Linked DNA regions of Mus musculus. The main gene of each other region encodes a partner of the protein of the gene in region 2 in a complex. Links are inferred from orthologs where the notes say so. Each region holds a gene or a part of one and is shown on either strand. Other genes may lie near its edges.

Region 1 (4,423 bases), on a different chromosome or scaffold from region 2:
CTGGCATTACAGACAGGTGTGCCACCCGGTGTGAGTGCTGGGGACTGAATCCGGGTGCTCTGGAAGAGTAGTATGTGCTCTTAACAACTGGGCCCTATCTCTGTTTTCAACTTTTATATATATCTGTTTTCAACATTCATTCATTCATTCATTCATTCATTCATTTATTTAGGATTTTTCGAGACAGGGTTTCTCTGTGTAGCCCTGGTTGTCCTGGAACTCACTCTGTAGACAAGGCTGGCCTCGAACTCAGAAATCCGCCTGCCTCTGCCTCCTGAGTGCTGGGATTAAAGGCGTGCGCCACCATGCCCGGCTATTCATTTATTTTTTAAGCCAAGATCTTACTCTAGAGCGCTGGCCGGCCTTAGACCCATATAGTTCTCCTGCTTCTGCCTCTGAGCGCCAGGATTAGAGATGTGTGCCTTGTGCTTTACCTTCTTTTGAGTTTTTATTTTGAGATAGGTTCTCAGTAAGCTGCTCAGATTGGCTTTGAACCTACTCTGTAGCCTTCATGGCGATTAAACTTTTAACTCACCTGCTTCAGCCTCCCAAGTAGCTGTCTTAACAGGCCTGCTTCACCAGCTGAGCTCTGAAGCTAAGTTCTGATGATGACCTACATCTTGGCCAGGACCTTGCTGTCTTTCCATCCTGGGTTACGTTATGTTGGAATGTTGACATGCAGATGCTATGGAGGCTTGGAGTGTGATGGAGGTCCGAGGTGTGGAAAATGCTGAAGTAGACATGTGGGGTCCAGGATGCTGGATGTGGTACCCTGTATGGAGGCTAATAGACTTTAGAGTATCAGACGTAGCTAGGACCAGCTTCCCTAGAGGCTCTGACCCTCATCTGTGTCAGTGGTGTGGAGCACAAGGCAGGCATTGAGCCGGGATGCTCATGAGAGACAGTGTTGTCTACTCGCCACATGCTTCGAGGACAGGGGGCTCTGTTCTGTCCTGAGCAGCACATGGAGGCACACTGCCCTTCCTTTCTCTTTGGTCTCAGTGAGGGAGAGCTGTGCTTGGGTACTTTTGGTTCATTGTCTGCGTGCAGTTGGGGCCTCACTGAGCAGCCAGTTTTGCTTTCTTAACTTCCAGATGATTAGTTCATTGAAGGGGCGTGTCTCGGAGCTGCAGTTGAGTGCCATGGACCAGAAGGTACAGGTCAAGCGGCTGGAGTCTGAAAAGCAGGAGCTGAAGGAGCAGCTGGAGCTGCAGCAGCGGTGAGAGCCTGACCAGTCGCTAAGACAGTCCAAAGGCTGCATGGAGGACACAGCGAGGCCTCTGGACTTGGGAAGTGTGTGTCAGAATAAGACGGTGACAGCCTCGTTCCCTTCTTCCTGGGACTGGCTTCCACAGAGGGACGAAGCTACGCTAGGTTTTTGAGGGCGTGGGCTGCTGTGCTTGGGCAAGCTGTTCTAGGTCACAGAGGACACAGATATGTGGTAGCTAGTGGGTGGCAGTCAGGAGCCTTTGGATTCTGCCTTGAAGGTCTGGCCCTTACCCTAGGGCAGGCATTGCCTTAGGATTGTACCCTTAGTGTGGGCAGGCCTGGGTGGCCTCTGATGCTTGCTGTGACGCCAGGCTAGCAGACACTGTGGATTGAGTGGTGGATAGAGAACTAGGTCGTGCCACAGGAAGCCTGGGCTCCCTTGTAGCCCCATCAGACAATGTCACAGTCTTAAAGGTTGGCTTAGGACTTGAGGTTCCCTGGATAAGGGGTGTGTGTGTGTGTGTCCAGGCTAGGGGTAAGGTTAAAGTGGCATTATGGACTGACCTTGCATGTACTTCTCTCACAGGAAATGGCAAGAGGCAAATCAGAAGATCCAGGAGCTGCAGGCCAGTCAAGATGAGAGAGCTGAGCATGAGCAGAAGATTAAGGTAGATGCTTCCTGCCAGACTGTGCAGCTTCCTATACCAGGCAGGGGTGGGACAGCCCTCCTGTCACTCACACACCTTCCTGCCTAGACGTGTGCTCAGTGGCATATGAGGATGCATGCTGATTGCCTTGTGGATGCCAGGCCCTGTGCTGGCTCCTTGGAGGCCACAGTGAGTGCTCAAGTGCCCCAGTGATGACGACCCACTAGAAATCCATGGGAAAAGGCTAACACAGAGGACTGCAATCTAGGCTTAGAGAGCCCAGCCACAGAGGCCAAGATGAGACACTATGAGTTTGAGAGCGAGTGCTCCATGAAGTAGAGTTGGGGGTGGAGATCCTGTGCAAGTCTGCACAGCTAAGCATGGCCGAGCGAGATCACCACTCCAGGGCTCTGATTTAAGTTCAGCCTCCTTTATTCTGGTGGGTGTTGCTGGAGAGGTGCCGCCGCCGAGACCTCCCTTCCATGGTTTCCTGTTGCCTTTACTGTGATAGCCAGTCCTGGGAAGGAGACTGTGTCAGTTGTCTCCCTCTCTGTGTGGTGTGAGCACCAAGGCAGTAGGCTCTGCTCCTTGTGCCTCTGGCACTGCTTTACCTGGCTCTGTTGTCTTTTGGACTTATTTGCTTAAAGATCAATTTTTATTTTTATATGTGTGGGTATGGGTGTCTGCAGAGATCAGAAGAGGCCTGGAATTGGAGTTAAGATGCTAGCTGCCTAACCAGATGCTAGGAACTGAATTTGGGTCCTCTGGAAGAGCAGCAAGTATTGTTAGTTGCTGAGCCTTCTCCCTAGGCCCGAGTCCAACCTTCTTACCTCTCACAATTCCCTTGTGCATAGAGGTTGACCAGTTGGTCTTCTCTGTCTCTTTGTTCCCACTACTTGACTCTACCTGGATGGAGCTGGGCTCTATGAAGGGTCCTGATCAATTGTTTTGGTCCTGGTTTTATATATAGCTTGTTCAGTGACTTGTCACTAGGTTCCTGTGCTACCTTGTTGAGAGTCATAGTGACAGGTGCAGTGTAGGTACGCCTGCTGCACAGTGGGAACAGATGCAAGGGTTGCAGGTTCACCACCCACGTGGCAGAAGCTGACCACAGCGGGCCAGAGGGGCCTGTGGCACTGAACCGTTGGGGACCAGAGGGCTGGATGGTGTGTGGCCAGGCACAGGCAAGAGGGACAGTGGTGTGGGTACTGGCTCTTGGGTGCTCCAGTGCTGCTCCAGAGGTGGTGTTGAGGATGCAGCATAGCGGGTTAGCCTTGGAACACTTCCTACACTGTCTGGACTGTGGAGACCATTGAGGTCCTAGGACAAGTTAGAAGACCTTTGCTTTGCTTAAAAAAAGAAAAAAAAAAAAAAGGAAAAAAAAAAGAAAAAAGAAAAAAAGAGGCAGCCGGGCAGTGGTGGCACACACCTTTAATCTCAGCACTTGGGGAGGCAGAGGCATGCAGATTTCTGAGTTCGAGGCCAGCCTGGTCTACAGAGTGGGTTCCAGGATGGCTAGGGCTACACAGAGAAACCCTGTCTCGAAAAACCGAGGGAAAAAAAAAAAAAGAGAGAAGAAAAGAAAAAAAAAAAAGAAAAAAGAAAAGAAAAGAGAAAGGCTTATTTAATTAAAAATTAGGTATATATGTAGGTATGTATGTGTAAGAATGTGTGTGTGAATGCGGGTGTACGGGCATGCCAGAGACGTCATATCCCCTGGGCCTGGAGTTACAGATAGTTGTGAGTTTGACATGTATGCTGGGGGTCAGTGTTGTTCCTTAGGATGTTATCTACTTTTTTCTTTTCTGGACAGGTCTGGTTGGCTTTGTTTTTCATTTAATCTATCTATCTATCTTCCTTCCTTCCTTCCTTCCTTCCTTCCTTCCTTCCTTCCTTCCTTCCTTTATTTATTTCTGCAAGTCGTTCTATGTAGCCCTGGCTGTTCTGGAAATCACTATGTAGACCAGGCTGACCTTGAACTCACAGAGATCCACTTGTCTCTGCCTCCTGAGTGCTGAGATTAAAAGCCTGTGTTACTATACCAGTCTTTAAAAAAAAAAAAAGTGTGTGTGTGTGTGTGTGTGTGTGTGTGTGTGTGTGTGTGTGTGTTAGGAAGCATTGAGGGGATTTAGGGCCTCATACTTTCTTGCATGGCAAGTGATTACTGACCGAGCAGGTTCCCTAGCTTCTGACACCTCCATTTTTTTGTGTCTTCTCTTAAACTGACTGTCATGATCTCCATGTCTGTCTGTCTGCCTTCTCCAGATCATTCCGTGGTTGAAGACCTGCATGTCTTTCAGCCCAGCCTCTCTGTTTTACAGAGGCTGTGTGTGCAGTTCTTCTGGCTGCTTACTCTCTCTCTCTCTCACAGGACCTGGAGCAGAAGCTGTGTCTACAAGAGCAGGATGCAGCTGTGGTGAAGAGCATGAAGTCTGAGCTGATGCGGATGCCCAGGATGGAGCGTGAGCTGAAGAGGCTGCATGAAGAGAACACTCATCTAAGGTGAGGGCTCATGCACAGCCTGCTGCCCCTAGTTGGTAGTTGGGCCCTGGGCTTGGTGTCCCTGG
Region 2 (5,094 bases):
GATATTTAAAATAAACCGCTTAGTTTCAAGACCCTTATTTATATATATTTCCAATACGTATGATGCACATATTTTAAATTCTAAAGAGAATATAAATCCGCAGTATATTACAATTCAACATGTCATTCTGCGGTTCACTATCAACACACAAATGCCTAGAAACTATTAATCTCTGTTTTTTCTCCCTTGGTGCACTGAAGCCTTCATTTGCATTGTTTTTCAAAGGTTGCATTGTGTGGTTAAACACTGCCCTCTTCTGGTATCTGGGATTAAATGTGTATCCACACAAAATTCTTTATGGTTTATTACTGCAAAATTTCTTGACAAGTTGTGTGTGTTATTAGTTAATAAGTAAATGTTTTTAGCCCAAATCAAGTAAACTTTTTCTCAAATCATAACCACAACAATAAGGAATCTCATTTGCATTTTTCAAACAAATATGCTATAAAAGGAGACTAAACTAGGGAGTATACATTCTCTAATAAATCTGCCACTAACTAAAAACTGGATCTTGAATTAACTGTGCAACCACTCTAGATCTACTATACTATAATTTGATTAAGTCATTAATGGATTTCTTCAGCCTCAAACTTTATGTGCTTCTAGATTTAGAAAAAAAAAATACTTATTTTAATACCAAGGGGGGGGGTCAATTTCTATTCCTCCCTGTTCAAACATTCTTACCCTAAATAATACACAGCAAGAGTCTACAAAATTGTGAGTCAAAGTAAATATGAGAAACTGAGAATTTTTCAAGTATTTTATAGTATTGCTTTTAATAAATGGGGAGAGAGGTAATGTTAAACCACGCAGTCAAAAGGAAATAGGAAAGAAATCAACCATCAAAGATTCCAGATCTTTTAATGTTTCTGAAATAAATTAGATTAAGTCCAACCACCGTTTGGTAAGAAAGAGCTAGTACCTCACTTTTATCTATACCACCATTTCTTTCCTCCTCATATGTCACAGTTTCTTTCTCTGATGTATTGTTTATACAACTTCCCTGGCATCTGTTTAGTTCAGGCTCTAAACCTTCTTCTTTCTTCTCCTTGTTCTTTCTTCTTCTTCTTCAAAGATTTATTTATTATTATTATTATTATTATTATTATTATTATTATTATATATAAGTACACTGTAGCTGTCTTCAGACACACCAGAAGAGGGCGTCAGATCTCATTACAGATGGTTGTGAGCCACCATGTGATTGCTGGAATTTGAACTCAGGACCTTCGGAACAGCAGTCACTCTTACCCACTGAGCCATCTTCTTAAACCTGCATATGATAGTATCTCTAATAGTCAACTGGTTTCAAAATGCAGTCTGAGTACCAGAGTTAGAACCATTTAGCATAGTTGGAAGATGTGCCATCTCCTGGACACAATACTACTGTACAATATTAAAACTGTAGCATGAATCCCATATGTAATCGTACATGCTCTGGTATAGGCCTTAAACGATCAAAAAGAAAGTACATATGACTAAAAACTTAAAAGCAAGCTAATTGCAAAAAAAAAAAAAAAAAAAAAAAAAAAAAGGAAATCAAGTGTCTCTATCATTTAAATCCTTTGTGGACTTATAAAATCTATGTAGTATAGAAAAATAAAGACATTACTAAATGATTATTAGTGTGTGTGTGTGTACACAATTTGCAGGGGTTCGCTTCTCTACTTGGTGACAAGCATCATTAAGCTTCTGTCCCACCTAGTTCCCTTCATCATATTTAACAAAACCAAAAACCAGGTTCTCCCAGACTTGAAACTATCCTCGAAGCTGAGACCATGCTTCAGGGATGCTCAGACCACGGGTTTGACAGGCAGGTAATCTCAGGACCATCTCTGGGCCGCTTCTAGGTCACCTCATCCGAGGTCCTGCACAGTACGGACCTTGTAGGTCACCAGGACCTGGAACAAGACGCCCCAACCACTCTGCGCTTGCTCATTCGGTCAGCCAGCGAGGGCGGAGCCAGGGCCGGATACAAGTCGCTTTGGGCGGGGCTTTAACCCGTGGTGCAACTGGGCATAGGGCGGAAGAGCCGATGTGGAGCGGAATGTTGAAGAGACCCGGCTCTCTAATGTGGGAGGGGCTTAGGGAACAAAACGGAAGCCTGAGGCGGCCTTAGGGAGGGATTCGGAGTTACAAAGCCAGCCGGAAACTGGCGACGTAGGTGGGGCTTAGGGCTCATTACGCCTGCGCACCGAGCAACCGGCGGGCTGCGTAGTTATTTTTGAACCGGGTGGCGGGGAATAGCTTAGAAGCCATTAGGGCGCCGTCTGCGGTGAGGTTGGTAGTGTTCTCCGTTCGATCTAGTGATGGCACAGCAGCTCGCCCGAGAGCAAGGCATCACCCTGCGTGGGAGCGCAGAAATCGTGGCCGAGTTTTTCTGTGAGTGCTGAGCGCAGCCCCCGCCGCCAGAGAGAGCTGAGGCTGAGCCGGGCCTTAGGACGCGCGCTAGGACGGAACCACGGATCCTCCCGGGGGCGGGGAACGCTGCACCACCCAGCGCAGGCCTGGGCCTCCTGGAACCTAACGGGGCTGACCTGGGTCATCATCTTACTCGCTCTCTGAAAGCTGGGGTCTGTGTTGACATCCTCTGACCACATGCTCTGTATTTACACTTAGCAAACCTGCGAAGTTGGACATTGCTGGGTTAAAGGTTTTCCGTGTCTTTTTGTGCCTACTCTGCTTTCTGGGAGACTTAAACGTTATTACACGGTTACGGCTTTATTTCTTTCGTTTTCAGCATTTGGCATCAACAGCATTTTGTATCAGCGTGGCATTTATCCGTCGGAAACCTTTACTAGAGTGCAGAAATATGGACTCACCTTGCTTACAACTACTGACCCCGAGCTCATAAAGTATCTCAATAATGTGGTGGAACAGCTAAAAGGTAATCACGTTTTCAGTGTGTGATCTTACAGGTTTGTGTCCCAAGTAACTTAAAGCAACATGCCTTCTCAAATGTCATTCTCAACTGGGAGGAAGCAAGCAATGGAGGGAATCCCCACCTCTTTTTAAGTAGGCTGAATGTCTTGATGTTAGGAATCTTTAAGCTGCTTTAAGAGTGGGTTTTGTAGGTTAACCAGTTGCAGCAAATTGGAAATTTTACCCGATTAAAAGGATTTCGCCATTCTGTGTTTTGCTTTGTAGCTCCCAATGAAATCATACAAAATACCAATTCTAAAAGCATTGCAACTGCCTTTTTTTCTCTTTGAGTTTTATTGTACGTGAAAGGGTGTTGTAGTTTGTTTTAATTGTAAATTCATTAACAGTGTTTATTGCTTTTTTTGTTAACTTCAGTATTAAAATGGCCTTTTGGTGGCCACCTGAACATGGTTAGCTTGGCATCTGTCTTTAAGGCCGTTTTGTTTTGCTTTGCTTTTGAGACAGGTCTCTTTATGTAGCTCTGGCTGTCCTTGAACATGCTATGTAGACCCGGCTATCGTTGAACTCACAAAGATCAGCCTGGCTCTACTCCCAAGTTCTGGGACTAAAGGCATTTGCCACTGTGTCCAGTTTAAGGCCAGACTTCTAAACATGCCTTGCTATTTGTATCCATAGTAGAGTATTCATCAACACTTGTGCAGGTTGGATATGAATTCACAGGCAAAAACGGCAGGGCTTTTAAGCATAAGATCTGCTTTGAATTCTGGTATCTGTGGATCCTTTTACCCCCTGCAGCTCACTTACTTGCAAGGATGATAGTTTAGAAACACAAGGCTAATTGGTCACTCTGTCCAAAACACAGTTGTGGCTTTCCTGATTCTTAAAAGTACAGTTTCATTAATTTAACTTGTAAGATTTTATATGACATAGCATCTTGACTTTTCATAATTATGTAATTTATTTACTTTATTGAAAAGAATTTACTTTTCAATTAGTCTGCCCATGTATGCATGTATATACATGTGTGTGTGTGTGTGTGTGTGTGTGTGTGTGCAGGCGTGCATGCATGCCCTTCCCATTTAAAACCTGTATTTGCCTCTCCTTTGTACAGTTAGTGTAAAAACTAATCTTTCCCTCACCTACCAGAGTAGTCCGATTTTTTATGCTCTTATAGTGTCTCTGTTGTGACCAGCCACCACAGATGTGACTGGCGGTGGTTAGATGAGTATATGTCATATGCTCTCACTGGGAATTGCAGAGAAAGTACAGGTTCACGGTTCTGATGCTCTGCCTTCTGCCTATTAGTAATATGGAGAATTTAAAACTCAGCTAAATTATTAGTGGAGAATTGTCTTCCTTATGCAAGAAAGGAAGTTCAATTGTGAGAGTTCTGTAAGGCCGAGAGTGGGTCTTTGGAAGAGAGTCTCTGTCATAGGCTAGAGTCTGAGCGCTGCCTTGTGTGTTGCAGAGTGGCTGTACAAGTGCTCAGTTCAGAAACTGGTGGTGGTCATCTCAAATATTGAAAGTGGTGAAGTCCTTGAAAGATGGCAGTTTGATATTGAGTGTGACAAAACTGCAAAAGAGGAAGGGTAAGTATGAGCTGAGTTATTCCTACCTTAATTTGTTTTTATGTTGTTGCATGAGTTCACATTGTATTGAACTGATTTCTTACAGTTACTGTCTATGGTATGTTTTTAAAGATACTTTTGTTCTTTTGTTAGCTTGTGAGGGATTTCTTTTTTTTTTTTTTTTTTTTTTTTTTGGTATTTCGAGACAGGGTTTCTCTGTATAGCCCTGACTGTCCTGGAACTCACTTTGTAGACCAGGCTGGCCTTGAACTCAGAAATCTGCCTGCCTCTGCCTCCCGAGTGCTAGAATTAAAGGCGTGCTCCGCCTCGCCCAGCTGTGAGGGATTTCTGAGTTCCTCATAGCCTGTCAGGGATTGTGTAGATAAGATACTTTCAGCATACTGCCTTTGGGAAAACCCCATGAGATTAGGCCTTCGTGTTTGTGGTTATACCTGAACCTCTCACAATATAATATATGTGGGCCATGTAATCACTGGCTTAAACGTACAGGAGATGATCCTAGACTCATTCCTAATTTAGATGAAGCTCTACTGTACTTCCCCTATTGCCGTGAACTTTGTAAACTAAAGATTGCAAGCACTCTACATCAGAAATGCCTATCATGCTAAGCATGTGCTTCTGG

The links. The genes of interacting proteins can lie anywhere in the genome.
Region 1: the proteins of Mad2l1 (region 2) and Mad1l1 are in contact, whole or in part, in a crystal structure (PDB 1GO4), measured with the Homo sapiens proteins. The link is inferred for Mus musculus from reciprocal best matches to the Homo sapiens genes MAD2L1 and MAD1L1. Residues at the interface, in NP_002349.1 of Homo sapiens: Tyr38, Leu61, Tyr64, Asn67, Val68, Trp75, Gln82, Lys83, Ser89, Ile91, Glu92, Ser93, Gly94, Arg99, Gln101, Ser150, Phe151, Asp152, Leu153, Leu154, Ile155, Tyr156, Thr157, Asp158, Lys159, Asp160, Leu161, Val163, Lys166, Trp167; in NP_001013858.1 of Homo sapiens: Glu527, Arg528, Ala530, Leu531, Gln532, Gly533, Asp534, Tyr535, Gln537, Ser538, Arg539, Thr540, Lys541, Val542, Leu543, His544, Met545, Ser546, Leu547, Asn548, Pro549, Thr550, Ala553, Arg554, Leu557.

Annotation. Positions count from the first base shown.
Region 1 is NC_000071.6:140,300,369-140,304,791, reverse strand, and holds part of Mad1l1 (mitotic spindle assembly checkpoint protein MAD1), read left to right. Parts: intron 1-1,094; coding exon 1,095-1,219; intron 1,220-1,795; coding exon 1,796-1,877; intron 1,878-4,227; coding exon 4,228-4,358; intron 4,359-4,423. UniProt on the Homo sapiens protein: Component of the spindle-assembly checkpoint that prevents the onset of anaphase until all chromosomes are properly aligned at the metaphase plate.
Region 2 is NC_000072.6:66,533,218-66,538,311, forward strand, and holds the start of Mad2l1 (mitotic spindle assembly checkpoint protein MAD2A), read left to right. Parts: upstream 1-2,003; 5' UTR 2,004-2,309; coding exon 2,310-2,382; intron 2,383-2,740; coding exon 2,741-2,887; intron 2,888-4,351; coding exon 4,352-4,472; intron 4,473-5,094. UniProt on the Homo sapiens protein: Component of the spindle-assembly checkpoint that prevents the onset of anaphase until all chromosomes are properly aligned at the metaphase plate.